Xenopus tropicalis: one gene and its partner. The protein of the gene in region 1 purifies or fractionates together with the protein of each later gene. This does not show direct contact. Links are inferred from orthologs where the notes say so. Each region holds a gene or a part of one and is shown on either strand. Other genes may lie near its edges.

The links. Proteins that work in one complex are often made in the same cells at the same time.
Region 2: the proteins of spata5l1 (region 1) and timm13 purify together in Homo sapiens (co-immunoprecipitation; 3 studies listed by BioGRID and IntAct, with this or other methods). This does not show direct contact. The link is inferred for Xenopus tropicalis from reciprocal best matches to the Homo sapiens genes AFG2B and TIMM13.

The regions. Positions count from the first base shown.
Region 1 is NC_030679.2:104,572,782-104,576,432, forward strand, and holds part of spata5l1 (spermatogenesis-associated protein 5-like protein 1), read left to right. Parts: intron 1-838; coding exon 839-1,024; intron 1,025-1,238; coding exon 1,239-1,397; intron 1,398-2,764; coding exon 2,765-2,974; intron 2,975-3,651. UniProt on the Homo sapiens protein: ATP-dependent chaperone part of the 55LCC heterohexameric ATPase complex which is chromatin-associated and promotes replisome proteostasis to maintain replication fork progression and genome stability.
Region 2 is NC_030677.2:92,869,572-92,873,839, reverse strand, and holds the start of timm13 (mitochondrial import inner membrane translocase subunit Tim13), read left to right. Parts: upstream 1-1,416; 5' UTR 1,417-1,421; coding exon 1,422-1,544; intron 1,545-4,268. UniProt on the Homo sapiens protein: Mitochondrial intermembrane chaperone that participates in the import and insertion of some multi-pass transmembrane proteins into the mitochondrial inner membrane.

The sequences.
Region 1 (3,651 bases):
ATACCACAATTAATGCCTATTTCTATCACTAAAAGTTGTCTATTGGATAGTATGTGATATCAATTATGAATGTAAAGTAAATAGTGTTAAAGACACAAAAGCCTTTATTCCTATTATCTTAAAATAAACATCGCTAAAAAAAGATAGAAAAGATAAGAAGGAAAGTTAAAAAATCGAATTCACACCCTGAATCTCAATCAAATGTAACTGACTCACTCGTGGATACTATTACTTAAATTGTTTCTTTAGTATCACCAATGACTTGTGTTGGCAACATATGTAACATGTGCATAACTAACGCACCCACAGTAAGAGTTGTTACATATGTTGCCAACACAAGTCATTGGTGATACTAAAGAAACAATTTAAGTAATAGTATCCACGAGTGAGTCAGTTACATTTGATTGAGATTCAGGGTGTGAATTCGATTTTTTAACTTTCCTTCTTATCTTTTCTATCTTTTTTTAGCTATGTTTATTTTAAGATAATAGGAATGGTTATATTTTATTGAATCTAACAGGTGTGCCAGTTTCTTTTTGTGTCTTTAACACTATTTACTTTACTCCAAATATACATACTGAGCACCCTGTATTTAAACTGTAGTGCAAGGTTTTTCTATTGGGATATCAATTATGAATGTAACTGCTCAAACATGAATTAAATTGGGGAGGAGTAATACATAATGTATTATTAGTGAATTATTTCACACAGTAAAATGCTGAGAGCTGAACAGCATGAGCAAATGTTATTGCCAAATTAATCATCTGACCTCTTTCTATTATATAATGCAAAAGTCTTTGATGGTATCATGAACATCTGTTTTTCTGATATTTTTAAGGTAATCATTGGAACTCCTACTCATAAGCAACGGCAAGCTATTCTGGAAATGATGATATCAAACATGCCCACTGATAGAGATGTAGATGCGGCAGCCTTGGCAGATGTGACAGTGGGATATGTTGGTGCCGATCTCACTGCCCTGTGCAGAGATGCAGCTATGCAGGCTGTACTTCAGGCCAGTTTGGTAAGATGTTGTAGTAGATTTATTGTAATTAGAAGTAAAATCATTTACTACCTGAGCAGAATCCAGAGCCTTATATTCAGATCAAATGTCCTATATTATAGGTAATGTAAGCCAACACTCATTTAAAGCATTGTGCTTCTTGTTTTCTGTTATTGAAATATAACTCTAACCCTTGGTAGCATTAGAATCCTAACATTGTTTCCTTGCCTTTCAGGACAGTCTGTGTAATTTAGTGAGCAGAGCACATTTTTATGAAGCATTTAAAAGGATTCGACCCTCTTCCGCACGAAGCTCAATTGGTCGGGTGGAGTTTAAGCCAGTTCATTGGGAGCATATTGGAGGTCTTGAAGATATCAAGCACAAGCTAAGACAGGTTATTATGGGAGCAAGGAGATCATTCCATTGTAGCTACTGTGGACTATGATACCTAGAATTGAGCAAATACTTTGGGAATAATGTTTGAAATAATACTAGGGAAAAAAAAAAGGAAAATACCCCTTATATTTAATGTTTATTGTATCCCATTCTTAATCGCAGGCAACCCACAGGTAAGCACATCTTACATTACGAGCTATAATTCATAATTTTTATTTCTATGGGTTGAATGGCTCATTAAATTGTGAGCTGTTGTAGAAAACTTTATAAAATTGTCTGACAAAGTTCTATGTGTGCAACGGCTAGGGGGGAGCAAGTTTGACAGTCTTTACAAAAGTATTGATGACTGGATAAATAAACCAATTTAGAAGCATTATATTAAATGGATCCGAAAACAATTTGTAGCAGGCGACTAGTCTCCCTGGCTGCCACAGCCCTTAAAGGGGGTCTCCTGTTACTTTTGGAAAACTGTGGAAGTATCTTAGTTAGGGTTAGTCATTTCAGTTGGTTGCCAATAAATTAGTGTTTTCTGTGCTCAAACATCTTGAGCAATAACAAAGGTGTTCATGTTTTGCTGGGCATTGACAATGTAGTAGGAAGGAACTAAAGTATTTAAAAGTGGTCAAATTGCATCAGCGGTTTATTCTTCATGTTCATAGATAGTTATATTGGCAGATTTGTCTTAGCATTTTGTTACAACGGCTTTTATTGTAGAAACACAGAACAACCACTGTGACATTAGCTGAGAAGTTAAAGCAACAGTAACACCAAAATGAATACGTATCTAGGTAATTCAAATATATATATATATACTGTTGCACTACTTCACTGGTAAAAGTTGTGTATTCTGTTCAGAAACACTATTATCATTTTATATAAACAAAGCTGCTGTGTAGTCATAGGATCTGTCATTCCCATTGAAATGGGGCTACATGGCATAGGTTAGATATCAGATAACAAATAAAAAAAACAGTTATCTGTTATATAACCTTATATATCCTTTTTCCAGCTCAAATGGCTGCCAATGTGGCTAAACAGCATCTTATTTATATAAACTATAGTAGTGTTTCTGAAGCAAAAATACAACTGTTACCAGGGCAGTGTAGCAGTACATTGTATTTTTATTACTTTAAAACCTTTCATTTTGGTGAGAGATGTGTGAACCTATTTATATGGAAGCAGCCCATGAGCTGAGGGTGTACACAGGATTAAACATGATAGTTCCACTGTAAATGTTTCTACTTTGTTATACCATATTCTGTTCTGAAAAACACAAGGACCTGGCTAGCAAAAGCACTCTTATTTTGTACAAGCAAACCTGGATAATTATGTTTTATAAAGGTAACAGTATGCTTGTACTTTCAGAGCATTGAGTGGCCCATGAAGTATCCAGAAGCTTTCAGTAGGATGGGACTCACACCACCAAAAGGAGTTCTACTGTACGGGCCTCCTGGATGTGCCAAAACCACATTAGTAAAAGCTGTGGCAACAAGTTGTCATTGCTCCTTCTTCTCTATCAGCGCAGCAGATCTTTTCTCTCCATATGTAGGAGACTCTGAAAAGACTTTGGCACAGGTGATAATACATTAAAAGATATTTTGCCTCTTGCTCACATTTCCTATTTTGTAGAAGCATGAAAATTCTCAATTTCTTATAACTCGTGCTATTTTATTTAAAGGGGCAGTTCACGTTTAAGTTAACTGTTAGTATGTTCTAGAATGGCCTATTCTTAGAAACTTGCCAGTTGGTCTTCATTTTTTACTTTCTAATTACTTAACCTTTTTTATTTATTTTATTTTTGACTAGTTTTTTAATTATTTTCTGCCTTCTTCTGATCTTTTAAGTAGGGGGTCACTGACCACGGCATGCAAAAAACTAGTCCTTGCGATTTTATCGTTGTTATCTCCTATTCATATTCTAGTTTCTCATTCAAACCACTGTCTATGTGCTTAACTAATTTGGCAACAATATATACTTTGTTTTTTGAAGATTCAAACCAAAAATATGAATTATAGATTTTAGTAGGGATGCACCGAATCCCGGATTCGGTTCGGGATTTGGGCTGAATCCAGCCTTTTTTCTTTAAGGATTCGGTTTTGGCCGAATCCAAGGGGGGGGGGGGGAAATTTCATTTAATAACCACATTGTTTTGATCCCAGCTGTATCCAGGACTGCAAAAGTTTAACAAGAAACCCTTTGCTTTAGAATATAACTGCTTTTTTTATATATTATAAAATACTGCTGCAGAATGT
Region 2 (4,268 bases), on another chromosome or scaffold:
TCCAATATATTTGCATGGAAAGGTTGCACTGCTTAGATCATAAGCAATCTACTCTCTCCACAAGTCAGGGGGGATCGCTGACACCTTGCCTGTAAAAGATGCTGCCTGCAGAGGAATGACGTTAGAAGGAAGGGGCATGTCCAGAAGCACTTGTGTGTGACTATGTCAGATTTCTCATCAGGAAGGGGAGGGAAAAGGCTGCAGAGAGACAGAGAAAATGGGTATTAAGATCAGTTCAGCCTTACCTTTCTAGGTAAATATGTTAAAAGCGGTTCATTTTCGTTCGAAAAATTGCAGATATGATTTAAATTAAAAAAAAAATGTTTATTTAATTAAAGTGTTTTAAAGGTGGACATTGCCTTTAATATGCACATGTATGTAATAGCCATGTTCCATTATCTTTCACAGATATATATATAATAATTGAAACAGGCTGTCTGCCTAAAGCATAGGTGTGTTATTAAACCAGCAATTTGGATCAGGCCTGGATTTGTGGGAAGGCCACAAAGGCCTGGGCCTAGGGCAACATACCTCCTAGCCTTATCTATAATTTTTTGTTTGTACAGACACCCATATAATTGGAGACTGGACACCAGGTGCGTAACTAGGGTACACCAGGCCCCCATTCAAAAAAATATTTGATAGAGCTCGGCACACACTTGGACACCCCCCCCCCCCCCCCCCCGCCCCCTAACCTGCCCAACCCACTAAGCGCCCCACACTGGAGTCTCCCGCCCACCGCAAGTAGGAAAGTGGCTGTGAAGGGGGGGGGGATTTTTTCATTTTTATAGAGGTAGCAGGCCCCGCGGTCTGGGCCCCCCTGCAACTGCAGGGTCTGCTTCCACTTTAGTTATGCCACTGCTGGACACGCCTGAGATTGTGACAGTTATTTGAATCTCCTGTGCCCAGTCCTTAGTCAAGGCTAGGTAGGGTCCCTTTATACCCGACCCCAGGACCAAAAGGCTCCAAAGGGCAAGGGTCTTCGAACTCTCCTTTGCCTCATGGCTAGGGAGAGTCCCTTTCCCCCAGGTTCAGCCAAAGCTTCCCCTCAGGTTTCTTCAAGGCCAAAGTCCTGTCTTTTGTCAGGGAGAGACAGGAGCCTCATGGCCACACAGTCCTCCCCTTGGTTTGTGGGGCATACCCTTCAGGCAAAAGGCCGGGGCAGAAACTGTAGGAACTACATGTTTTACACGTTATTATTTTCTAGATAGCTCTGTCTTGGAGGCTTCTTATTTTTTCGATACAAGGTCTATTACTATAAATTCGAATAAACCTAAACTAATAACGCTACATGGTATAATAAACTACATTTACCGTGATGCCTTGCTTGCAGTAAATACGAAGTTCCGGCTCATGCGTAACAGGAAGTTTATCACACGTGTGTGTGACTTTGAGCTGCTGCCGGTCACAGTAACGTTGAAATGGACGGGTTCGGGGCTGACTTCTCTGTGGGGGGATCTAGCTCTGGGAAAGTTGATACCGGAGCAATAATGGAACAAGTTAAGGTGCAGATCGCAGTTGCAAACGCTCAGGAACTTTTGCAGGTAAAAGGGCTTTCTGGACAACCTTACTTTCACAGGACAGTAATTTTTTTTGTCTTGTCTTCTAGCTATGCCTCTTTTTAGACGACTTGTGGTCATATTTTTTATGTAAGTTTTCTGATGAATTATCTGCATCACAATGCAATCTTCAGAAGCTTCCTTAGAAGATACTACAATTGTGACAGCAGTCATTGCTGTTTTTTGGTGGAATACAAGATTTTAAGGTACACATAGGGGCATATTTATTATGCTATGTAAAAAAAACAGCAAGAAAATTTGCCACACAGCGCCAGGCTTCGCTGTGTAAAAAATAGCATAGAATCTGCTTAATTTTTTTTAATGTGCTTTTTCTTCCACCGGAACTTGTGTGAAATAATGACGTAGAATATGGCGTTCGGACGGCGATCTTTTCCGTTTATTTTACACAGCTTTTTACACTGTTTTTTTTGGCGAATTCATTTTACACAGCTTAATAAATATGCCCCATATTGTAGCCCAGGAGGTAGCTGTGCATTGCTGTAGGGCCATCTTGTTTATATTGATCACAGATATGCTATTTGAAGATCAGGTTTTGATTCTTATGTGGTGGGTCAACCCTATATTTACAGTGGGAAAATCGGCCTCTGTGGCCAAGCCTTGTCACATATAACTCAATAATTAGAACAGTCAATTTCACAAAAAGTACTCCTTTTTTCACAGTGTTTTTCATACACTTTCAGTGTATGTTTCTGTCGGTGTAGTGTCAAGTCATACTGGCTTAGGGGTTGAAGCATTTTTCAATAGGCAATTTTTGTTAATACAGATTGGGTGCATATTTTGTATGGTATTCATGTTGAGAGTACTGTAATTTTTGCTTTCAGATAATCAATTTAAAACCCCAGTGGGCTTGTGTAAGGGCATAATTTATAGAGCACTTTTCTCAATGGGGCTCTAAGCACTTTACAGCAATTATAGGCACACTATGGGGCTCATTTACTAACCATCGATTTAAAATTTTAAACTCGATTCAAATTTTTTTCCAAAAAATTCACAGAATAAAAACACGACTTCTGAGATTTACAATGAGTCTAAAAGGCTAAAAATCAGAATTTGGCAATTTGGCAGATTAAACTTGCCGAGTTCATGTAGAAGTCTAAGGCAGAGGTCCCTTACCTTTCCTTAAAGTTCTTTCTGTGTTTTGTCCAAAAATCACTACTAATTTTTCAAATTGTCGCAGTGACAATTTGATAAAGTTGGGATTTTCACAGTGACAGTTTGCAAAAGTCTTCCTAAGTATTCCTAAGGATGCTGAAACACCAGAAGATTAAAGAAACAGGAACACCAAAAATCAAAGTGTTTTAAAGTAGTTAAAATATGATGTACTGCACTAGTACAACTGGTGCCTTTTTTTCAGAAACTTTACTATAGCTTATATAAACAAGCTGAATGGCTCCCCACATGGCTACACAGCAAGGCCAAAAAGGCACAGGTTACACAACAGATAACGGGTAAGCTGTGCAGACTCAGATTTGTATACTACAGAGTTTATCTGTTATCAACCGTGTGTACTGTGCTTGAATGGCTGCTCCCATGGCTACTGAGCAGCTTGTTCATATAAACAAAAGTAGTGTTTCTGAACACTGAGTTTTACCACTGCAGGGCATCAGTACATTATATTGCCATTCTTTAAGATCACTTTCATTTTTAGAGGTTACTGTTCCTTTAACTAACTTGTCCAGGATCACAAGAAATTGCCACAGGTAAAATCAACCTTAAAGGAGAAGGAAAGTCATTTTGGCATTTTATTGCCAATAGATTAGCGACATTAGTGCAAGCTACAACGCTATATTTATTCTGCAGAAAGCTTTACCATACCTGAGTAAGCAGCCCTAGAAACTCCCTCTGTTTATTTAAGAAAGCAGCTGCCATTTATCTTGGTCTCCACAGCTTCCTGCTGCAGCTCTAGCTGTTAGTAGCATATGTCACACATTCTGATGGGAGGGGGATTCATTCTTTTAAATTCTTTTTGGAGGGGAGAGCAGGAGAGAGGAGAAGAGCTGCACAGACTCCGGGCCCTGAATGAAGGACTTTTCTGAGAGGAAGTCAGATACCAAAGTATATGTATACACAAAAGGAGACAAGAAATCCTGTGTTTCTTTTTATAGAGGACTCTGTGAGTGCTTATGGCTGTATTTACATAGACCATTCTGATAAAGCTTACTAAGTTCTTAGCTTTCCTTCTCCTTTAACATCTTGGTCAAAGTGTACTACAGGTCTAGTTAGTTGTAGCAATCAATCAGCAGATAGCATTTACTGGTCTTCTGTTAAAAAGCAAAGTATCGCTAACCCCTAGCTAAAAATGCAGAGTAGCACAGCAGCGTACCTGGCCGACATCATCTTACTAACTTAAGAGACTTTGGGTCTCTCTGCCGATACGAACCTGCTTGCGCATGTGCAGTTAGAGGTAGCAGGAAATCTGCTTTAACTGTGCATCAGCAGTGAGACCCGAAGAGTCTTCAGTTGGTAAGCAGCTACGCTACTTTGCATTTTTAGCTAGGGATTAGCGATACTTTGCTTTTTTTTTTTAGGGGTTAGCGATACTTTGCTTTTTAACAGAAGAGTTACAGCATTTATGAAACTGGTTAGGTAATTGAGAGATATTTGTTCTTACAGTGGTAAAATAAACATTTGGTCACAAAAGAACTAGTAGTTTATGCATAATGTGCAGATTAGGTCTCCTGTTATGGA